Linked DNA regions of Rhinolophus ferrumequinum. The protein of the gene in region 2 interacts with the protein of the main gene of each other region in a biochemical or structural test. Links are inferred from orthologs where the notes say so. Each region holds a gene or a part of one and is shown on either strand. Other genes may lie near its edges.

What was found.
Region 1: the proteins of SORT1 (region 2) and SORCS1 form a complex in vitro, tested with the Homo sapiens proteins (2 studies listed by BioGRID and IntAct, with this or other methods). The link is inferred for Rhinolophus ferrumequinum from reciprocal best matches to the Homo sapiens genes SORT1 and SORCS1.
Region 3: the proteins of SORT1 (region 2) and NGF form a complex in vitro, tested with the Homo sapiens proteins (3 studies listed by BioGRID and IntAct, with this or other methods). The link is inferred for Rhinolophus ferrumequinum from reciprocal best matches to the Homo sapiens genes SORT1 and NGF.

What each region holds. Positions count from the first base shown.
Region 1 is NC_046299.1:18,856,526-18,864,154, reverse strand, and holds the start of SORCS1 (VPS10 domain-containing receptor SorCS1), read right to left. Parts: upstream 3,248-7,629; 5' UTR 2,920-3,247; coding exon 2,365-2,919; intron 1-2,364.
Region 2 is NC_046305.1:41,582,999-41,591,456, forward strand, and holds the start of SORT1 (sortilin), read right to left. Parts: upstream 3,347-8,458; 5' UTR 3,303-3,346; coding exon 2,991-3,302; intron 1-2,990. Other genes in the region: PSMA5 (proteasome subunit alpha type-5), read right to left, coding at 7,403-7,480.
Region 3 is NC_046305.1:45,834,310-45,842,065, forward strand, and holds the start of NGF (beta-nerve growth factor), read right to left. Parts: upstream 3,517-7,756; 5' UTR 3,459-3,516; intron 1-3,458. UniProt on the Homo sapiens protein: Nerve growth factor is important for the development and maintenance of the sympathetic and sensory nervous systems.

The DNA.
Region 1 (7,629 bases), on a different chromosome or scaffold from region 2:
TTTTAGAGGTGAGGAAAATCACACTCAGAGTACAATCAACCTACCGAAATCAAAACACAAATACGCAGAACTAGAACTCAGGTCTGCACTCTGCCTTTCACGTCATAAAGTTATGTAAAAAAAAAAAAAAAAAGTTTCTTTCTGCTTCCCTTTCCTTTAAAAAATATTTAAAACTTTGTTTTGCCTATGAATGTGTGCCAGCTTTGTTTTCGAGGACCTGGACACAGACTATTTCGCGCCCTTTACCATCGGTACATGTACACAAAAAAGAAACCAATTTGTGTGTAAGCAGGCATGGACGGGGTGGGGGTGGTGGTGGAGGAGTCCTTACAAAGTAAGAGACTATTAAGTGGGAATCTCCTTAGTTAATATGATTTGAGTGCTCAAACCTTTAACACACACCACCTTGATTATTTTCTATATTATCTCAGAATCCGCTGCATGTCTCCCATCCAAGTCCTGACCCTACTGGGCTTATAAACACCATTAAAAAAAAAAAAAAAGTCTGGCAGTGCTTGGCGCCATTTCTTAAATGGAGTTTAAAATTTGCCAAAGATGTACTTTCCTTTTCTAGGTCTTTCCAAGATCTTTCAAGAGACGAACTAAAGTAGAGGTCTAATGGGTGAGTGATATTTTACAGCTTGAATTACATTAAAAGCCAGAAATATTTTGAGTCCAAAGTCCTTTACTTCTGGATACAAGATCTAATATGTCTGATGTGTTTAAAATCTCCCCTTAAAGCCAGAAGCTTCGAGCTCATCACTTAAAGCAGTGCAAGTTACTCAATTAGTTTAGGAAGATTCAAGTTCAAATTGCGTGATCAATTTTAGTGGTTACTATATGAAAGATATGATAGTTAAGGTAAGAAATGAGGGCAACGGTCTCCAGAACTTGAATGGAAATAATTTAGCTTCCATTATTTGATTAAACTGGTCCTGAGAACCACATAAAATCACAGCCTCAGTCATGAAGGCTAAATTGTAGGGAAAACGCTGATGATACTCTCAGACAGAGACATCAATACAAAATACTATTTATCATGATTTGCCTTAATACAATTTATGTGTGTGTATCCAAGGAATCCATAATGACAGACTATTTTTTAAAATGTTTACAACCGTCATTAAAAACGCTGACAATGAGCACGTCTCACTAAAGTGGCACTTCCCTGGGAAGGTTTCTGGCAATTACATCACAACTGAAAACAGTTTGAAAGGTACCAGGCTGCAGAGACTGTACATATTACAAATACTACAATCTCAATAACCTGATGGAAGTTGAAACTTTGATTTATTTTTTTCATTTTACCCATCCTTGGGTTTTATGTTCTTGTCAGCTTAACGGCAGCCTAGAGAAGTTTCTGCACTTCCAAATCCTCTTCAATTCTTACCATCAAAAGCTGGCTTTTTACTATTTCCGCTCATTGAAGTTTCCAGGTGCAGTTTAAACTGGAATAGCTACCTCAGATTCCAGACATGCAGGCTTTTCCAAAAACCTAAAACCTTTACTGACATGGCCAAAGCTCATGGACTTGCATCCATTCTCCCCAGTGTGGAGCCTGCTGGAATCCAGCAACGCCTCTTCTCCCTTCATAAAGGGAGGCTAAGACTTGATTTGTGCTCTTCTCTAGAGGAGGTCAGGCAATGGGGGAGAACAGGGAGTTGTTGTCACTGGGATATATCTGATCTTCCCGGGACTGATCATGCCAGAAAACAACAACTCATTCACAGGCTGGAAAGCCCCAGCTCTCAAAACACACTGGCTGGTGCTGTTAGAAGATGCTGGAGAGTTCCTGTCCTGAAACTTGCATCCACTTGGTCCCCCAAAACAGAGACAACATTAAGGGCACCTTATCGTCCACTGCAGTTCTCTTCCTTTGTGGGGAAGAGGGGGCTAGGAGCTCTGAATAAAAATAAAATAAAAATCCTCAAATAAAATCTTATTGATATCACTTGTGCTCATCCATGAGTCTAGCAAGTAAAGGGAAAGTCAGTTGAGGGAATGTCAGTCTGCCTGGAAATTTAACCCTTTCATCTCCACATTCAGGATGCTTGAACATCTCTGTTTGTCTGGTCTTCAGATCCATACTACATCAATGCGACCAAAGAAGTGAGGAAATAGGGATTTGTCTGCCATGTTTAAACCTTTGCTTGGGGTTTGCAGGGGACTCTGATAGTTTTGTTGGGGAGGGGCTGGGGGTGGTCTCCTAGGAGGTAACCTGGGGGAGGTGAGCAAGTAAGACTTTAGTTTGCAGCATCTTTCCAGTCCAAAAACCCCATTTCCTCAAATTTTCCATCAGATCACACAGCCAACTTTAACCCTTTCCAGCTTTCACCCCTTTGCCCCCAGTCCCATTCTACTCACGCTGCTGTTGTGGCCAGACCAGTGGACCATAGCTTGGTTGTGTGCTGAGTCGCCTGTCAGCGCGAACGTGGTGCTGGTCAGTTTCAGCTCCTCCATCCGGAAGCGAGTGGCTTTGTCTGGGTCCCGCTCCAGAGTCCCAAGCTCCTGCTGCCCTTCGTCCCTTAGCACTCTCCGGGGGTTCCTACTCGCGCCCTCTCCTTGTTCTGCCTTCTGATCCGCTCCACTCCGTTTCCTCCGGCCCGAGCGTGGAGCAACGGCCACGGATGCTCCGGGGCCCGGGGTCCGCTCCAGGGACAGCGCTCGGTCTCCGGGGGCCACTGCGAACAGAGGGCGCCCACGGAGGGGCAGGGGCGTGGCAGGAGCTCTGCCTGGTGGCCCCTGATGAGAAAAGCCCCCTGTGGTCGGATCCCAACGTGGGGCCGAGCTGGGGTGAAGCTGGAGGCAGCAGGAGCCGCCGCAGCAGGCGCCCGGGGCGCAGAGGACCAAGAGCCCCGCGCCGGCGAGGAGCGCGCTCAGCCCGGCTGCGGAGCCACCTCTGGCGCCAACTTTTCCCATCGCAGGAGCGGAGAGGAACGGAAAGGGGGTCCCGGACTGAAGGTGGCGGCACGGGGCTCTCCGCTGGCCGGCTGTGGGGGAGAGGCGCTCAGGACCCCAACTCCATCCAAGTTGGGCCGCTCTGGGGCGGGTGGAGGCGGCGCCGGGCAGGTGGCGGCCGCTTGCCCAGGCTGGGCTGGTGCCGAGCGCGGGTTCGGACAGAGCTAGCCGCCGCCACGCGGGGGTGGAGCTGAACTGAAGTCACGGGCGGAGCGGGCGCTGGCGCGCTGGCAGGCGACGCGGAAGGGAGGGCGGGCGCTGCCGGGGCTCCGAGTGCCGAGTCCCGCTCGCTAGCTGCGCTGTGCGCGGGTGGCTGTGGAGACTGGCTGCGCCGCGGACCCTCCCCTTGGGCTCGCGGCGCTGCCGCCGCCCGCTCCTCGCCGCCGCCCGCTCTGCGCCCCCGCCGCTGCCGGCTCCCCTATCAGCCCGCGCGCCTCCCGTGGGGTCGGCCAGCCCGGAGCTCGCAGTGTGGTCACTGTGTTGGGGACTTAATATTCCTGTTTTATGGTTGGTATCAGTTTCTGTTGTTGCTTCCTTCCCCCGTCCAACGGTCTTTTCCAGTTTAGAAAATAGGGATGGTTGGGCTCCTCATTTTTCCCTTCGTAGTCTCCTTGAGTTGGTACCTTACCTTGAGCAGAATCTGTGTCCGGGCTTGGGGGAGATCCCGGAAAGGCAACAGCAGAGAATGATGTAATTAAATGATGGGGGCGGGGGGGATTTTTCCATTAATGATGGAGTTTAGATTCCTTTCCCGACCTCCTAAAGCACTCACTGTATTTGAACTCAATCTTCCTGCATCTTGTGGGCATGTATCTTGGTTTTCCTAAGAGACTGCAACCTCAGTGAGATCAGGCTGACCAAATCGTGAGCAACTTGAAAGAAGTGACCGGTTTATTTTGTTTGCCACTTTATTCTCAGTGCTTGACAGTGTCCCGTACAGTAAGAAATATGTCAGTCATTAATCCAATAAATATTTATTATGAATAGGCAAATAAATACCAGAAAGGAGGCACAGTGCTCTGTTTATCCGTGTGCCTAGCCCAGGACTACTAACAAATGCCTTAAGATTATTAGCCAACGTCAAGTCTGTTCTGGGTGCCCCGTCACTAGTTTGCTGTGGGACCTCAGACAAGTAGCAATCTCTCAGTTTCCTACACATTACAATTAATTAGTTGCATTAAATGATCTTTAAAATCCCTTCCATTCCTAAAATTCTGTAATGCTATGATTACGTCCGCCCAGCCCAGCTCCCTGCTACTCTTCAAAAGTTCAGATAAAAATTTATAGGAGGTGAATGGGCTTTGAAAATTACAAAGAATTTCTCAAAATCCAACCCTCTTTCAAATAGAAAGTTTGCTTCTAAGAGTTGAAATACCTTCACATTCTTTGTAGTCTCCCTGTGTCTAATAACACTTCCTTATCACATGGTAACTGTTAAATTATTCTATGACTACTTACTGATTGAATAAATGAACCCCACAGCAAAATAGTGCGATTTCCAGTTTCTAATTACATGTTTGTCCATTTTCACACTTGCATAAGTAACTTTACTGAAAAATCTGAATTCTGAGTTTGTGATGGGACCAACTTGAAAGTAACAGAGTGATAATTATTTTTCAAATAATGATACCCTCTTTTTGATGCTGTCCAGGAGAAATTTCTCTTATATCAATCCAACTCAGAATTGAATTACAAAAAATCAATTTAAATTATTGTTTTATGACCAATCCAAGAAATGTGCCAAGGCAAAGAGGCAGGCTTCTCAGCCATTTAAATGTGTGTACTTAAAAGGATAAAAGAGTGTCCTCTTTGTCTTAAAAGGAGACACAGACTACTCTTCCAACAGCACCTTTACCACCCAAGCCTGAATCCTCCTGTAAAAGGAACAGTGTCTGGCAGGTTGTGGCTTCTAGATGGGAGGAGAGGAGAGCCAGAGATCCCTCCTCCTCCCAAAATTGCAAGTGCTCTTTGTCAAAGCCCAAGACAGCTATTTTCCTTTCCTCAGAAAGGTTTCAGAGTTTTGCAGGATCGTTTGCCTAATGCCTTCTTTCTATGCCCTGCTAACCCTTCCAGTCTGGATAAGTGCATGAGAATTCCTCCAAGAGAAGAAAACCCGATTCAAGAGTCAGAACTTAAATAAATTCCCATCCAAATATAGGACTGGAAAAAGTAAAATAAATAAATAAATAAATAAAAACAGTGGATTCAAATGTTCTGGTCTTAATCCATTATTGTCCTAGCAAAATTTACATTGTTTTGATTTCAAAATGAAGTTCTTCCTGAAGAACTGGTACAAGTAAAACTGATTTTTCTTCCCCAAAGAGTTTACAACTCCCATCTTTTAAAACATACCTATTACAATGACCCCTTTAAAGTGAAAGCATTTGCAGGCCATTCGCTGAAAAGTCATAGAGGGCAGGTACTTTTCTACTACCTGATTTTAATTATTCATTTGAGAAAAAGGTTACACAGCTATGGATGAAATTGGCTCCAAGTATTGTTGTGTTGGGTATTTTTTTATATGTCTATTTTATTTCTTATGTCTCTGATCCCCATTGAGTCTTATCAATAAGCAGAAAGAGAAAGTACCAGAAAGTCCCTAAACCATCATCTTTTTCCAGAGGATTTCAAGAAATAAGCTAATCATGGGGAAAACAGGGTTAGTCTATTTCAAGGTGTTTTCATTCCAACAACCCACTAAGCAACGCAACAGGTTTTATTAATATAATGCATTAAGAATGAGTCATAGGAACATAGTTGATATCAAAGGCCAGTAGAGAGCATAGATCTGTAATTTCAATATGGAGTCTATGCATTGTGCATATGAAAAATATGCCATCCCCTTAGTCCAGTTACCATGGTTTCTCACCTAGACTAGCACAACAGCTTCCTAACAGCTCTCCCTACTCCCTAATTGCTCTGTTCCAGCTCATCTCTACAAAGTGGAACACAAGTACCCAAATGGTACCACAAGATAATTCATGGTGTGCAGGAAGAAAATAATGGCCCTGTTAATGTTTAATTACTGATCAACATATATATGTTGTGTGTGTGTGCGTGTAAAGAGAAAGAGATACAGAGAGAGAATCATGTATTTGTGAACATTTCCAGCTACATGCTGGTTTGTGTGCATGATCAATAAAGTTCAGATGCCTTACCCTACAAAGCAGCAAAAGCGGTCTTTCAAAAATATGACAAATAATCGTTTCTTGCCACTATTGAAAACCCTTCCCTGACCTACCATTACAAACAGAATAAAACCCCCACTCCTTCCCATGGCCAATCAGGCCTGCATGAGCAGAGTCTTGACTGTTGCCAGTTACATTTGGCAGCACTCTCTCCTCATGCATATGCTCCAGCCACTCTGGGCAATACCTTCCCCCAATGTGCCAAGTGTTTTCCGACTCATGACCTTGGTACTGCTGTTCCACCTTCCTGCAATGCCCACCACCACCCCCACTTCTCATAGCTGACCACTTTTCTTTGAGACCTTCACTTAAAACATACCTCCTTAGACTTCCCCTGACTGTCTACCCAAGAAGAAATCCCTCTGATATTTTGTGTCAGGCCCTTATTAGTTATTTCTTAGTATATATTACAGCCATCAATGATTTTATTGGAATGTTCTTTTGCTAATGCTCCCCCAAAAGCTACATGTGGATAAGAACTGAGTCTCCCTTATTCATCTGTTCTTTCCCCAATGCCTCCTTCACTGGCTCATTGGATGTGTTCAGTCATCAATAGGCTGGCTGAGCAACACTGGGGTAGCAACCCTACCTGCATAACTTCTAGTAGTAAACGCTTGGTAAATCAGACCTGTACATATGCCAGGAACTGAGCTAAGGTTTTACACGAAGCAACTCATTCGTTTTTTGGGTGTTCTTTTTTACAAAATTTTTCTCAGCTGAGTACTATCATTGAATCATAAAGTACCACTTTACAGATCACATTAAACAAATACCGAGTGTCATATGGCAATTTAGTGCAAGAGGCAAGGCTTCCATCCAGGCATCTCATTCCTAATGTGTTCTTGACTTTATGCAATACTATTTCTATTCCAAATCCAACTAATAACAGATAATGTTTATTGATGATTTACTATGTGCCAGGCACTATAATTACAATCATTTTCAGAAATGTAGAGCAAGCAATTTTGGAAACAAGTAAGCAAGTTTGTTTAGGCTAAAGGGAAAATTTGTATTCTCCAATTTATGTTTGCTTTTATTTGGGAGAGGGTGTGTGTGTGTGGGGGGGTAATGTTAAAGAAAGTGATGTATTTACTACACACATAACCTTATTGCACGAACTACAGTAGCTGTCACATTGGATTTCCTTTTCCCCCTTTTCCTTGTTCTCTCCATAGCTGATGGATAGCTTGGCCTTGGCAACCTAAATCACATTATATGTCTCATCATTAGAACAATGTCTTTTAATAGCTCTCCAAATACTTGGATCCCCTTGGATACCTTGAGACAAGGTGTCTTGCATTTCAGATCAATTTCATGAAGAACCACAGAGAGAAAACTGAGGAGAATAATATGCAAACTCCTCTCATTGCCTGCCAACAGGGTTGATGGCTTTTTTATTTGTTTGTTTTTTAACTTCCCTATAAAATACTTACAGGTATCTATAGATACCAGTCTTGGTCTGAATCCAGTAATTGTATCTCTT
Region 2 (8,458 bases):
CCTGTCAGCATGGACGCAGCCCTGCCAGCACCAGCAAACAAACACACACATTCTTCTCAAAGCTGACACCCCATTCCACATGGCCTCTCTATGGGGCCTGTTTATCTAAGAAACCAGATGCTTTGATGTCGGGGTGGAAGTTGGTAAGTAATGTGTAAAGAGGTAGTGACAGGAGCAAAGGGAGGACAGAGAATGAGCTTCATTAATCATAAATTTTAAAAGTTTTAAGGAAATCGTCAAATGGTCTGAACACAGGAATGAGAAGTAAGGAAATTATGTCAGCCACCGCCGTAACTCTGGCCAAAGCATTTCATCTGTTTCTTTAAGACAGAGTTTCATGCCTAACCTCAAAGGGGTGCTTATAGGAGGAATGTTTTGAAGCAATCCAACTTAGCAACCAACATTAATAAAATCTTCTAGGCTTGCTCAATTCCTCTCATGTACAAAGGTTATACATGGCATGAAGGAAAACACTGAAAGGAAAGAATCAGTTAAAAGTGTGGCATGAAACAGTTTGGGGTAAAAGGCAAAAGGAAGGTTATTTATTGAGTGTAAGAAAAGAGCATTTATAAGTATATATGTACACTGTTGGATTTCATGAGTGAAGGATCCTGAATTATAAGTCATTAGGGCACAGGTCTCCTTACACCAGAGGAACATAAAAGCACTATCATGCTTTTAGTTCTACTTCTGCTTTCTTAAGGTTAGTTAAATGCCAATAAGTTTTCACAAGCCACAGAAGCCATAGAAACAGGTCTAGGAGATTGGCTAAAACCTTCTGAGGCTTTTCATTCTCCAGTCTGAGTTACCTTTTCTTTGTGTCCTGGCATCCCAGCATCTGGAGGGTGGGTATTCACATACATGATGAATCAATGTGACTTGACATGGACAGCAAGTTATAACAAGTAAGAAGAGAACCAAGAACTTTGGATTTTTCCTGCGAAGTAAATCCTTACAAAAAACTCCTCTAAATGGCACGTTCCCAGCTGTACAAACGTATACAATATTGCCAATAGAAAGTGGTTCTGTCATGCTGGTATTTCATTTCACACTGTTTACAAAGGGTCCTAAAATATTAGATATCTTCAGTATAGTTCAGAATGATTTATTATGACTTTTAAAAACACATAACTGAAAAGCAGAACAGACGACTACGTGACAACTCTGGGTTAAGGTGGCGGTCCACTCGAACCACCACTTTACTCGACCACTTCTAAGATGAAGATAGTTAACAACAGCTGCTCTTTAACCACATCTGCATGTTCCAAAAAGGATGGGATCTCTGAAGATGAGACCGTGATTGATTAACAAATGCAAAAGTAGTGACTTAAAATTATGTCACTGGAAGAACACTGAAAAAATAATAAGCTAAAAAAATCATTGGGAACAATACCTAAATAAGATGAAACAAAACGGGGCAAGTTTCTTTACAAATGGACTTCAAAGAATAAGGTTTCAGATATGCTCTTGAGTAGATTTGGCCTAAGAACCCCTTGAGCCAGTTTTATCAACCACCTTGCTATAGAAATCAGTATATTGCAAACGACATATCAACGCAAACTAACCAGGGAACGCAAACTAACCAGGGAAGACTCAATCACAGGAATGAATCCAGAAGCAGCATCAGATCCTAAGGGAATGTCAACCAGGAAGAGAGGAATCTGAAATATGGGGTAAGAATGCTGTGTCCAGCTGGCTCAAGGAAGGAAGTAGTCCTGTTATAAATTAAGCATCAGTATCGCAAAGCCTTTCTCAACTCCCCACTGTGAGGTGGAAGTCTACAAGATTTATTTCTCCCTTCGTCAAACAGGAAGACTTGCCAGTACTCCTACCACCCTACCTGCACCCAACCTGTCCCACCCGCCAGCACTACCTCAGCCACCTTGAAGCAGCGGCTGCTTGGACTGCATTAAGTGGGGTTATCCCTGCTTGTGCCTTGATTGCAATTGACCTGGCTCCCACATGTGAGAATTCTGCACAGGTAACAGGTATAGTCAGTCCCAGCAGAGGGAGAAAGATAGTTCAAGGGGAGACTGAGATTCCCTGATGCGAATGTGGCTATTGAAGGACAAGTGCAGTTAGCCACTCATCTCTGTCCCCAGGTGCAACTCTTCGCAAGAGAAAGGGATATAACAGAGAAAATATATTACATTGAAAATTAGTTATGCAAATGTGGGTAGCGATAATTAAATCGTTAGTTCTAGAAAAAAGACGAGGAAGATGCTCCAGCTGCACTGGATCCAGGAGCCAGGACACACTCCTGTCTGCTGGCTTTGTCAATCCAGTGGTGCCCAAAGGTTGAGCTGCTTGTCTCCAGGGATGGAACTGCAGCAATTTTAAAAGTTTCCGACTAGGACCTCGCTCAAAGCAGAGTGTCTGCAGTGTGTTTCTTAACAGTTGGAAACCTTGTTACAGGACACAGACTTCCTGGTCAAAGTCCGATGACACCATAGAAGGTCAAACTGAAGGCGTTTTAAAGAGAGATAACATATATACTGCCATCCCACTTCCACGCTTGTTCCTTTACCTGTGCGAACACACAGTAACCGAACAACTGCGTTGGGAATTAACAGCCCCCTCCCACCCTGAAAGCACTGACCCAGAGAACACACCTTTGCTTTTGCGCAGCCCAACCTGTGCAAACAATTCAGCGATGACTATTCCTCACCTTCCCGGTGAGGTACAGCGTTACTGGGTCGCGATTATTTATACAGACGGAAAACAACGACGCTCAAGAGATTTTGACAACTTGAAAAAAGGAACGCCGTGAAAGGCTAAACCGGCCTCCCCTGTGACCAAAGGGCCGCTCCCCGGGCCGGACTCCGCCCGCCGCAGTTTCGGGGCCGCGGCCCTGGGGGGCGCGGCGGGCGGCGAACTGCCGGGGTCCCCTCGGCGGGGACAGGAGGCGCGCGGGCGGGGCGGGCGGCCGCGGGGGCGCCGGGGGCGGCCCCTCGCAGTCCGGGCGGCGCCAGGGCCCGGCGCCCGCTCACCTGGTGCGTGTTGTTGCCCAGCCTGGCGACGAAGTCCGGGACCCGGTCGCAGCCCTCTTCCTCGTCCTCTTCGGGCGCGCTGCGGCGCCAACGGCCGCCGCGGGGAAACAGGCCCCCGGGCGCGGCCGCGCGCAGCCCCCAGCTCACCCCGACGGGGCCGGGCCAGTGCGACAGCGGCGCAGCGGGCGGCGGCGGCGCGTCCAGCCGGTCCTGGCCGAGTGTCGCCAGTGGTAGCAGCGGGAGGAGGAGGAGGAGACCGAGGCCGTGGGGCCGGCGCGACAGGCCGTCCGCAGCTGCCCCGGGCCGCTCCATCGCCGCCGAATGCCTACGCCGCCGACACCTGCCGCCCGGCGCGCCCGCCCACCCCCGCCGGCGCCGCGCCACACCCCCGAGCCCAGTCCGGCGCTCCTTGGATACGCGCAGCCGGGCCTCTCCACCCCCATAGGCCGGCGGCCTGTCCTTCTTCCCCGGCCCGCTCCTCATTGGCTCGCGTCGCCTCCGGCTTCGGGGGTCCTGGATTCGGATGCCAAGATGCGGGACTGATTGGCTGGAACGTGGCAGAGACGGCTGAGGTCATCCCCCGCCTCGCCCGCGTCTCCAGGGCCGAGCTTGCAGAGTTGGTAGGAGCTTTTCCCTCTTCCCGCGAAGCTCCCCGCTCCATGGCGCCCAGAACCCTCGCGGCTCCCAGGGGCACCCTCAAGTCGGGGCTGGTTTAGTCTTTCCCCCAGAGACCGCCTAACCCCCCCCCCCAAATTCTTTGGGTTGCGGCAGCGCCGGGATAATCTCAGGGAATCCCTGAGCTCGCCCAGCTGGAAAAGGGGGGCTTCGTCATGAACCGGTGCTTCAGGTTTTAAGCTCCGCGCACTGGAGCGCCCATTGTCTACTGAAGCAGCCGCCTTGCTGCCAGAAAGGTGAATGCGAATTGTGTGGGCTAAATCCTACGGAGAAAACAGACATCAGGATATCCGTGACTCATGCAAGCTGTAAGAAAAGTCTCTCCACCACCTATGGCCTCATTCACCTTCCTCTGTAGGGAGTTAGGCCAAAGATGGGGTTGCTTATTGGTTTTCCTGGAGGTAGAAAGTAGCTTGGACGTTAAGGGCAGGTCAAAGCGGGCAAGACGATTGCCCAATGACTGCTTCAGATATGATCTTTTCATAGATACATATTTATCTCTACGAAAGTGCCTGAACCTTGCATTTGCACAAGTGTGGTTTTCAGTATATGATGTCCCCTAAATTAGTATCCCACATCCAATAAATAAAACAAAACCTCTAGGCTTTTCCCTTTAACTCAGAAACTGCACACATAACTTCTAGAACATGCAGTGCAGGTAAAACCAGTTCTGGATCTTAACTAATCCCATCCCTTCAGAATGTTAGTTGTTAGAAAATGTAGCAAATAGAAAGATACAAAGTGTGCAAAACGTTACTCCCAAATAAAGCAAACTAAAAATTACTTTTAACTATAAACTGCGGGTAAGCACAAATAAAAATATGTAATTGTAGAGCAAAATGGTGCACTGCACCTCACTCAATAGTCAAATTCTTCTAGTCACATTAATTTGCAAACAAAAAGATTTTTATAAATTTGCATTTTTTCCAGGACAACCATAGTAAAACAGAAGTGAAAAATACTTTTGAATAGCAGGATGGGAAAAATCATGAGAATAGTCTTCCAAGTTCTCAGCTACTGAAATGACAAGATAAACTCCATGAAAACTAGTAAACAATTTGTTCCTTTCTATTAACCACCATTGTCAGATTATTTTTTAAAATACAGATTATTTTTTAGTTTATCCAACTATGGAGTAGATCACAAGACAGTCAGTTCCAGTAGCATGTGATGGGGGGGGGGGTAAGAGAAGAGGGACGATGCAGGAATATTTCTTTGTTCGGTGACACAAAGATGAATGGTCTATTGTCTTACTGTCTGAAAAGAAAAAACCCAACTCAACAGTGACATCTCCTGGAGAAACTACTACATATTTTTAACACAGTATTAAATAGTTGCAATTATCTGTTACCTTCACTTTTTAATATATTGCTTTTAGTTATCATTATATGCTTACAGAATACATATTTCCTTCCTCAAACTGTTATCAGTTGCTGGGGACATGATACCTTGCATTTGGCACTGAGACAATGTTTGAGTACATAAACGGTTTTAGTATTTCAGTCTAGTGACACGGGTAGGTACTAAATACAAAAGTTGCACTGCTGCCAGATCTCTTGTGAAAACACTGCACATAAGATGTTACCTGACTTGCAGAACTAAAGTATGTCAAGTTATCTTATTACTAAAAACCATACTGTTCTCCAAGATAAATTCTGTAGCAGAAAAGCAGTTAGACATCACAGAGCCATTCTTTTCCTAGTAAGATGATTTCTGTTTCAATTGGGCCCAAGAACAAATCTTGTAGCAAGTTTTAAAATTCTACAGTAAACCAAAGTTTTCTTTCAAGAAGGCTCTAATTCTATCTTTTCAAGAATTCTAAAATTAGAATTAGAGGGTATGAAATTTACTGTTTCAGCAGTTTTTTTGTAAGGTATGAATACACTGCCCAGGCAGTGAGAGAGAAAACAGTACAAGCTGAAGCTAAGAGACATACGCCAAGAACTATTACTTAGTATTTGGTTTCCCCACACAATATACGTAATTCAGAGACACAGTTCTCACCTCTCCCTAAAGCAGCATGTTTTGTCCATTTCCGCATTAACCTACGCTGAGTTAAAGGGAATACTGTCTAGTTCACCCTCAGAAGCTTCATAGAAGCACAGACCGTATCTACTATTTACACAAGTCTGTCCCCAGTGTCTAGTATGTTACTTGGCATATAGTAGGTAGGTACTCAATAAGCTTGTTAAATTTGAATAAGTGGAAATTGAGATAGTATTTTTTCAATGGCATTTTCTATTAAGATTTGATAATAGGTGAACATGAGAGAAACTAATCTCATCATCATCATGTTATACGGCGTTTCCCTGAAAATGAGACCTAGCCGGACAGTCAGCTCTAATGCATCTTTTGGAGCAAAAATTAATGTAAGACCCGGTCTTAAAAAAAAAAAAAAAAAAAAAAAAAAAAAAAGACCCAGTCTTATTGTAAGACCCGGTTATATAAAACCGGGTCTTATACAAATTTTTGCTCCAAAAGACGCATTAGAGCTGATGTCCGGCTAGGTCTTATTTTCGGGGAAACACAGTATTTAGTAACAGGGTTCAAATCACTAGAAGTTAGTCCCTAGAACATTGGTGACCAGCAGTTGTTTTCTGCTGGACATACAGTATGAGTGTAATATGAATTCAGCCTACTTAAATCATTTTGATTTCGAATACAATTTCCTACAAATGTTAATGAATATACAATCAACTCTCCATTATCCAAATGTGGATTAGTCATGTTGTGGATAGTGTAAGTACATTTCAAATCTCAATGAGTATTTACTCAGTAGGTGTCTAGGCTTCAAGGGACATGGCATTGTAAAATCAAGAGTTGATCTGAAACCAGAAAATCCGAGTTCACTTCCCAACAGCTTAATTTTCTGTGTCCATAGACAAACAGCCTTAGATTCTTCATCTGCTAAGTATGATAAAAGTATCTACTTTATACGGCCATTCCCAACCAACTGCATGACGGCAGCTCTAATGGAGGGAATTCATAGTACATTCCAAAGTGTGATGTCAACTAGTTCTGAATTATACCATTCCGTTACTCATTTGTAATTGATTGCCAGTGAGGTAAGATCATGAATTCAATTCTTTTATTGTCCTTAACTTCATTAAAAATAATAATAATAAATATATATATATATATCTATATGTATATATATATCTTTCCAAATTGTTTGTTAAGACACTGATATAGCACTGTAGCTAGCTTACTCCAAGCCATCAGTGTTTGGGGAGGACTTCAAATCATGTTCTTTTGATGGTTAATTAGTAGTATCTCTTTCATATAAGGAAAGCAGAAAAATGCCTATTTACTGAAGACTGACTATAGGTCTGGAATAGGTTTACAGTGGTATTAATATCTTAAACCACTGGGAGGAGCTGGATTAGCTTAAGTTCATTGCCAATACCCAGGGACTAATGTAATGATATAGTTGATTGTTGTAGCAAGCCGCTAAAACCATTTTAGAATAGATACTCTGAGAGGGTAGGGATATGAATACAACTATTCCAGCCCTTTTGCCCTCTAACAGAAGCATTGTGAATAAAAGACTGCATTAGAATAGTCTATTAACAAATATTTTAAATTTTTCTTTATTTCAGAACTGTCTTTATGTACAGACATCATAAAAAAATGCACATATAATGGAGATTTTCCAAGGAATAGGAGCTGGAAATAAAAGTAAAGGGCAATTAGGAGAACTGAAATTGTCCCACAGAAGCTCTGAGGATCACACTTCTTTAAATGTCCTTGATAACCTCTTCAAGTTCTTCCTTTGTGAACATGTGGAAATTCCGGCCAGGCTGCACAGTGGCTAGCTGGAAGGAAAACAGAGAAGGGTGAATAAGCTGGGCTCGATTAGCCCGCTGCGAGCCCCAGCATGGGCAGGAGAAGCTGTGCTGATGACGCAGCTCTTCACTAGAACTAAGGGATCTGCTGTCCCAGGGAAATCCTTTCCGGCAGCAGGTTCCCAACATAGCTCTGACTCCAAAATAAAAATTCTCATTGACCAAATTTTCTATTTTGAGGTTAACCCACCACATCATAGTTAACCAAATGCCTGCCGTCACCGTTACTTTTTGAAGTTACTTCAACAGGGATCACAAAAGCAGCAGCAAATTATTTCCTTTAGAAATATATTATAAGCATATTTGCACACTTGGCAAGTCGAGCTTGTGTACGTGACCTCAGGTTAATGGCCACTGTGTCTTAATTTCCATCAATAAAATGGGGATAATGGTAACACCCAACTCAAGAGTAGCTCTGACGATTAAATGTGTTAATATACGTAAAATGCTTTTGAACAGTGCCTGGAACATTATAATAAACACCGCATAATTGTTAACTATTTTTGTTTGGTAGTATTTTCTCTAATTTGTTCATATGGCAACTTAACAAAAATCTGTTTTGTTTTTTAAAAAGACTAAAAAGATTCCATGACCAGTGACAGGAAATCAGTTGTGACTGAAGTTATTAGTAATAACCAGCGGTCCATGTTTTTATTTAAGCAGTAAAAGACTAGGGTCAGAAGCTGGTTAGTTCCAACTTTAAGTAAAACTACCAAGTTTTCTATCATCTCTGCTGACGACAGTCTCACGTTTGGGGCAATACTGAGGAACAGGTGCCACTTCACATTTGCCTAAAAAGCTTTTGTGTTTAATTTGTTTTAAATGTCATTGCCTCATATTGTCTTTTTTTTCCTTCACTTTAAAATTAAACATACTAGGGCTTTTTGAATAGTCTTCATTATTGATATTTAATATACCATATTTTGCCACGTATACTGAATGCGCTCC
Region 3 (7,756 bases), about 4.3 Mb from region 2:
TTCCAAGGGCGTTCTCACCGCGAAACAGTATTATCCTTTTAATAAGCAGTGAGCCAAAAATGGTGTTGGGGGGGGGGTGGGTTTGGTTGTCACCATGACGTCTGGCATTTAGTAGGCAAGGAGGAGATACTAAGCATCCTGCATTATGTCAATAGGTCATACTTCACCAAGAATTGTCCCCAACTGCCAGTAGCCCATCAAGAAACATTATTAATTCAATGCACTTGTCCTATAAATTAGGAAAAATTAAACCCGAGAAGTTTAGTGACTTGCTTAAGGTCACAAAGCCACTTTCCCTCCTGTCTCAGAGCTTGGGAAACTACCATCGGAAGTTTACCCAAAATACTGGAGAAAAATGTCAAGAGATCATCGTAACGTTTCAATCTGATTCTGACTGTGTCATAGTCTGAGGCCAACAGTCCCTGGGGACACCTCAAAAACATGTCAAGTAGCCCACAGAGGAACCATGAAAACATCACAAAGCCTGAGAATGTCTTCTTTATTGTAAGCTTTCATGATCTGGTCTTGGCCAAACTTTGTGTCTGAAGGGCTATTCCTCCTTGGCTCAAACAGTGACAATCCTGTGTACACCCAACGGAAAGGCCAGTCACCCCCAATCCTCAGTTTCTCCAGCTGCATTTCTGCCTTAGGGCCATCCCGGTTTTACTGCTATTTAGAGTGAGGGTGCCCACTGTCAGGAAGCAGGTCGCTGGGCATGTGTTGGGGAGGGTCGTCCATCTCCATGTATTTGCCTGATGCCCCGTATGCTGTTCTGTGAAACTGGTCCATCACAGAGTTGATTTCTCGGGACGGCTAAGCCTGAGGGCTGATGGTGTAGCTGATGGTTTGCAAGATCAGAGGGGCCAAAGAAAGAGAAACCCTCTGGGGATATGAGTTGTTTGCTGAGAGACTTTAAGTGAATCTTCAGCAAGCCTTCCTCGGCCTCCTGAGAGCAGAAAGTATTTGCTGCCAGCAAAGGTCTCCAAGACCCACCTGCTCTGAACCCCGAAGTCTCTATGAGGCCTTATAGGGAGAAGACAAATGGCTGGGCCTCTAGTCCCTGGTGTGACAGTGATGTGTGCCTGGGGGCCCGGGCCTGGCCCCTGCTCCATGCAGAGCAGGGAAGAACAGCAGCCATGTGTTCTTTGCAGTTTCTCTGTGGTCCCAAAGCTGCTGCCACTACAACTGGACACTCTTTGAATGTGCAGAAGTCTGCTCAGCACTGATTTAAAAGTGAAGTTGTGCGATTTTCTCAGTCGTTTAATCTCAGTGACGATGAGAAACTTCCCTCGGGCTGCAGCCCTGCCCTGCCCTACCCTCCCTGCTGATGTCGGCAGCTGGGGCCCCCTTCCTGGCCAAGGCACAGGTTTCTCCACATAAGAGAAGCGGAGTGTGAAGCTTTAGCACCTCCTCCCTCTGGTACTCTGGGTGGCCAGTGGGAGAAGGTGAGACCCTCACTCCTTGAGAAAGGCTAAGGATACAGAAAGTCACCAATAGTAGGATGACTGCCCTGAGAGGACCCAGTTTCCAAATGCTCTTAGTGGGCCTGGGCTCAGGGAAGGGCTGGCACCAGAGCCGGTTCCAAAATCCTCTGAGACACTCCTACAGTTCTTTCAAAACACGTGTCCCCGCGCCTCAGAGACCTTAGTTTCCCATTTGTGGTGACTCCTAACATTTTTCCCTTCAAGGCTGCCGGTTTTTTCACCTACATAAAAATGTTGGAGAGAGATAGGGGGAGAGGTTTAGCAGCACATGAAGTTAGCCCCAGGGCCCTCCAATGACCCAAGTAGGAGGAACAGTGATTTCTTCTGTGAGTCAGTGCCAGCAGGGCAGGTTTCAGCCCCCAGACCACTCACTCGCCAGTCCTGGGTGCCCTCTGAACCTCTGGAACACTGCCCATCATGGATTGACATTTGGGTTGCCCAGGCTGACATATATGACTTATGCCACAGAAGAGACCCATGCAGGTCTAATGCAGACTTTCTAGACTTTCCTCTGCGGCTCTGCAGAGGGAGAAAGTTTCAGACATTCGGTAGGAAGCTGTAAACACGTCGCAAGAAATATTCCCTGCTGGCAGACTTAACTGACAGCTTCAAGAGTCTGAAGACCCTGGAGAAAAGTTATTGGTAGGCCCTCCACCACCATTTCTGAGTTTGCAGAATGCAACTGGCTGTGCATGTGGGGGAGGAGGGGCCCGGAATTGGCAGTGGGTACGCCCAGCGGATGGAGCCAGGATAATTAATCAAATGCCTTTACTCCAGGATTTCCACTAGCCTCAGATGATTGACAGGGCAGAGACACCCAGGAGAGCACTATTTTGGTTTCCAGCTGGGAACGTGCACGAAGTTTTCCTTAATACCCACAGCACCCCAAAGGCTTTGCTGTAATGCACTTTAATGCATGAAACACCCATAAATTATCCTTCAAACAGTTACAACTTCCAACCTGGAACAACTTGGAAAAACCAGCCTAGCAAGCAGGCTCTTTTTTAATCGCTCAAGTCACAAGAGAAGAGAAAGTTCAAGCAGAAAACACCTTCCATGAGAATCTCAGGGATTTCTTTTTTTTTCTTTTTCTTTTTGAGAGAGTAAGAAGAGTTGTAATCAAACAGAGCAAAGCCTCTGTGGTTTCTGCTGGCTCAAAGGTGCCGTCCCCTCACCCCTGAGTCCTCTCTGCCCTGGGTCTTTGCCTCCAGGACCTAAGGCGCTGCCCACCTCAGCCCTCCACGCCAGCTTCTCCCACAACTGGCAGCAGACAGCTGGCGGTGAGGCGTGTGACCCAAGTAGCCCAGCGACTTCGGTCCACCCGGATCCGTGGAGGTCTCTTGGTGTGCAAGGTTCCTCCATTAAGCCCCGGGGGCCTTCATTTCGAACTCTCAGCCCTCCAGCAATGAGGAGAAGACCCCAAAGACCCTGCCTCCATTCCTGGCATCAGATTCAGCGTGCCCTGCCTCGCTGGTCCCCTTACCTGGGGGGCAGCGTAGCACTTTCCGGACTAGGCGCACAGCCCAGACCTCGCGCGCGATGCTCTCGCCCTCCGCGGTGCAGCCCACCCTCTGGCCCGCGCATCCCTCTCTCCACGCTCATCTGCTCTCCCTCACTTGCGCGCTGTCCCTTTCTAGCACTCGAGCTAGTAGTGTCTGGCACCGCGCGGGACTACTGCAGGCGCCAGGGTGGCCTCCGGGACTTCGGGCCACGGGGAGACCGGGAACTTCAAGACCAGAGAGCGCGCTGCTTCCCCCTGCTCGCCGGCTCGCCTGCCAAGGCTCCCGCACTCCTGCGCCCACTCGGGACACTCCTCTCACCACTGCACCTCAGCCCGTGGGATCCTCGGGGGTGCCCGGAGATCTTACCAGGCTGGGAGCCAGGCACTGTCTCCCGGGAGCTCCTCCCCGCCCGCCAGCACCCCTGCCCACGCTGCGCCCCTCTCGGGGCTCCGCTCCAGGCTGCAGGACTCACCCAGCGCTGCGCTCCTCTCCGGCTCCCGGCGCACTCTGCGGTGCAGGAGCTCCGAACGGCTTCAACACTGGCTTCTGGAATTCTTAGCCCCTCCTCCCGGACTCCTCCTCACTTCAGTCTGCCCCGGGCACGGCCCGCCCCAGGCCCACACCTGCTGGTGCTGGACTGAGGTGCCCGGCTGTCGGGGGTCCTGGGGATTAGCGATCAGCTCCCAGGAGGGCTGAGTCTCCCCAGTCAGGGAAGGGTTCAAAGCCCCAGAAGTCAAAGGGAACCACACAGGTCGGAGGGACTGTGCGAGCCCAGCACAGGCAGGGATTTTCTGGGGCACCGCTATCTGTGTCCCCTTTCCCTACCCCCCCCCACCCCACCCCGTCCCCACCCCGTCCTCCCAGCACGACTCTCCCGTGCTTTAGGCATGGCTGCCCCTCACAGCCTAGAGAGAAAGGCCAAGGGAACTTTTCGCCTGGGATGCTTCCTGTCACCCCTGAAGAAGCGAGCACCCAGGGGAGCCCTGGAAGACGCAGGTGCTGGCGCTCCTCTGATAGGAGGCAGAGCTGCGGCTCTGAGAGCCAGAACCATCTAGAAGGCCCCTGGGCAGGGGCAAGTCTGGCGTGGGGACAGAGACAGAGGCGTTAGGCGTCTGGACCTGGACTCAGGGCTTTAACTTAAGTTCTGGAAGTTTCCTGGGGTCCCTGAAATTGTAGGTAAATCTGTACATCTGTGTGCATTGCGTGCATTTTTCTGGGTAGAGGGTCAGCAGCTTTTATCAGCTTTGCAAGGGATCTGTGACTCTAAACTGACCCAGACAGCAAGACTCCTTGGCCACCCCAGGACCTGCCCCAATTCCTCTTTATCCGCATGCTGCAGACTTTAAGGGAGGTGTGACCTCCTGGCTGGCCGGGCCCTCCAGCATTTCTTGTGTTCCATGGATTCAGAGGCTGACAGGGAAGCTTGCCTGCCCTTCCCACCTCAGCCCCACGGTAGCAGAAATACCCCTGAAGCCAGATTTTTCAGCAAATGTGCGTCATTAATTATAATAATGTTCTGGGGGTTCACACGTCTTTCAAAATTCACACCCACTTTCCCTGGTGTTAAACTCAGTCTACACTTCTTCCCTGAGTAAACCGTCTGCTGAGCCCCTACCCTGTCCCTGGTGCCACATGGGAGGAAGGGATGGGGCACGGGAGGGGAGGGCACTGAATCCCTTTGTTGGTGAAGACATGCCAGCACAATTCAGGCGCCCTGATTTAATGAGGTACAGGGAGGGGTTCCTGTTTTAAGTCCAAGGGTGGCCCTTTGCCCCACCCCCGCGCCCCAGGGGAGGCACTGGCGAGCTGAAGCCCTTCTTCGGCATTTCCAGCTCCCTTTACACAGATTGGCCTGAGGTGTCCACTTGGTGGTCTTTTCACCTTTGCCCTGCTGCTTTGCATAGCTGTCTGCTGTGAGAAGGATGAGGTAGGAAGAAATCCCCAGAATTGGAAGTCAGCTTTAGCCTTCGTGTGGCCTCTTCATCTCCCAGGGAGGGCTTGTCCACTTCTGAGTTGTTCTGAGTTGTACAAACAGGTTGGATGAACACACTTTGGAGGAGAGTGCTAGCTGCTGGGCCCACCATAGATGGCCTTTTCTGCAGACTTAGCGCCAGAGTCAGGGCTATCCATTAGGACATTTATCGTTGTCAATTAAACAAAGGAATTTCCATACAATAGGGCAAATTCATTCATCAATCATGTCGTGTATAAACTTGTTTGAAAGCACCAGCCCTAAGCCTTTACAAAATAGCTGCCTGAGAAGTTAGGGATAAAGTTGAAAATTTTAGAATCAAATTTGGTAGTTGCATGCAGAACCTTTGCATGTGTTCTTGTGGCGTCACCCAGAAGGACAAAAGGATTTGGCGGACTTGTGGTTTTGTTTTGTTTGTTTGTTTATTTGTTTTATGTGGTGTGTAAGAGGGAAATGTAAAAATGATGTAAGCAGAATGTAAGGCTAGATGCCACCCCCCCCAATTCTTCATCATATTCTGATGGCACATGTTGGTTTAATAAGAGCTCCTTTCCATCCTTGTCTAGCTCTGTTTCTGTCCCTGAACTTAAAGGATCTTGAGTAAATAAGAACGTGTAAGCAACAAACAAATACTCCAAAGATTAATTATGAGTGCCTACTATGTGCCTGCCAGGCGCTGTGAGATGGCTGAGGTACCTACCTGTTCTCAGAGAATTCACATTTTGATGGGGACTGGATTTTTAGGCCCGGCCATGTGTATCACAGTCTCCCCAGGTCCTAGCACAGAGTCTGGCACACAGTAGGTGCTCAGTAAATGCTTGTTGAATCCTACAACAGTCAGAGACATTTGCGGCTGTCAGATAACACCCATCCACACTGAATTGGTTTCCAGTAGGTTCCAGGTCAGACTGGCCTTGACACAGAGACCATAGTCAGCGTTTCTTCTCTTGCCTCTTCCACTTCCTTCTCCTGGGTCACTGAGAGAAGGACTTTAAAGCCTGGACCAGTTACATTTATAGGAATGGAAAGCAGCTGAGAGGGCAGCGGGCAGAAGGAATGGTGCAGACAAGTAGAGGATAAGAATGTTTTTTTGTACTAGATTTTCTCGAAAGAGCTTTTTCACCCGGGTATCAAAATAACCAGCAGCTGATGTATTTGCTGCCGTGGAGGAGAGTGTAGTGTGTGCACAGTAATTGTTGTTATTTCTGAGGATTCAGAAGTTTGCAGCCACTGAGTGCCTCGTCCACAGCAACACTCAGCCTGGCACAAAGCTCCTGCCTCTCTCTTGCTTCATCCCAGAAGGGCAAGGCAAAGTACATGTGCTATTTAAAACACCAGGAGGCTCGGCCGAGATCTGCCAGTACGGATGGCATTGCTGGATCTGCTGGCAATATGTGCCAAACAGAAATATTGTCCCAATTGCGGGAGGAAGTGATAGCGTCAGCTCAAAGACTTGCTTCCCCCTTCTTTCTCATCAGAGTGGAGAACACCTTTAGAAGAGGAAATGTTTTATAATGCTTAGTGTGATGGCATGGTTACAGAATCACCGAGAACATCACTCCAGCCACCTCAGTTATGGAGGAGGACTCAGGGCTCAGGAAGGACGGGGTCTTAGCTGAGTATAAATGGGCCGGGTCAGGCCAGAACTCAGGCCTCTTGATTTCTAGGCGAGTCTGCTTTCTCTCACACTCTCTGAAAGAGGCTGAGGGAAAAACCTCTGGGCCCTGGCCTTAGTGGGGAGACTGGTAAAGGAGCAAAGACAGACCAGGGTGCAGAGAACACTGGGGATGGCAACGGCTGGGCTCCCCTCCTCCTCTTGGGGGCCATCCCTGCCTCCTCCCGGGAGCTGCTCCTGGCTTTCACCCTCTCTCTGATAACTTCAGTTTCTCCATCTCCCTTTGGCTTGTCTGCATTCACTTGCCTGTCTCTCCTAAGGAAACTGCTAGCCCTCCTGACACCCAGTCTCTGGACTCGCAACTTCTTGCACCACTAAATGCCTCAGCAAAGTGACCCACCTGTTCTTTGGCTCCTCTCAACTTCCTGCGGTCTGGTTCCCATCTTCTTCCCCTCCCCACCCCTTCTCCCCACTGACCTGATATTTTCTTCTTAAAGGTCACCAGTTGCAATAACAACACTGCCACCAACAGAACAATCGTAGCATTTATTGGCTGCTTTCCTTGTTTTGGGGTCCTGGGCAAGGCATTTTTATGGGCCCTATAAGTAGGTATCACCCACTTATTAATAAGGAAGCTGAAGCCCTACGAGGTAAGTCTCTTGCTCAGCGTAAGTCACTCATAGCCCATGAAATGGCCGGTAGAGATTTGAACCACGCCAGTGGAGCACTGGCTGTCAAACACCGTACCTTCTCCTTCTTTCCGCGCAGTTCATCAGACTTTGCCGGTCCTCAGCCTCCTCCCCGAGGACCTCCTGCATGGAACACTTTCCTTTCGAGTTTCTGTGACTGTGCTCTTCCTGGTTTGCCATCTACCGCTCTGATTTCTCCGTCGGCCCTCGAATGCCTGTGCCTCCCATGGCTCAGTCCTGGGGCGCGACATTCTTCTCCACTCTCAGCCTCCCAGGCCATCCCTCCTACCATACTGATCCCCTCGCTTCAGCTCTGACCCCACACCTGCTCCTTCAGTCACTAACAGTTGGAGAGTTCATATGTGCAAAGTGCTACCTGGGTTCTTGTTTCGGACCGCGGCCTGCGTGGGTGCTAGCAAGGACGGTGCTGCCATCTCACCTCCGACCCTCAGGGCCTCCATCCAAAGCCCTTGGTCGTGGCTCAGCCGGCAGCA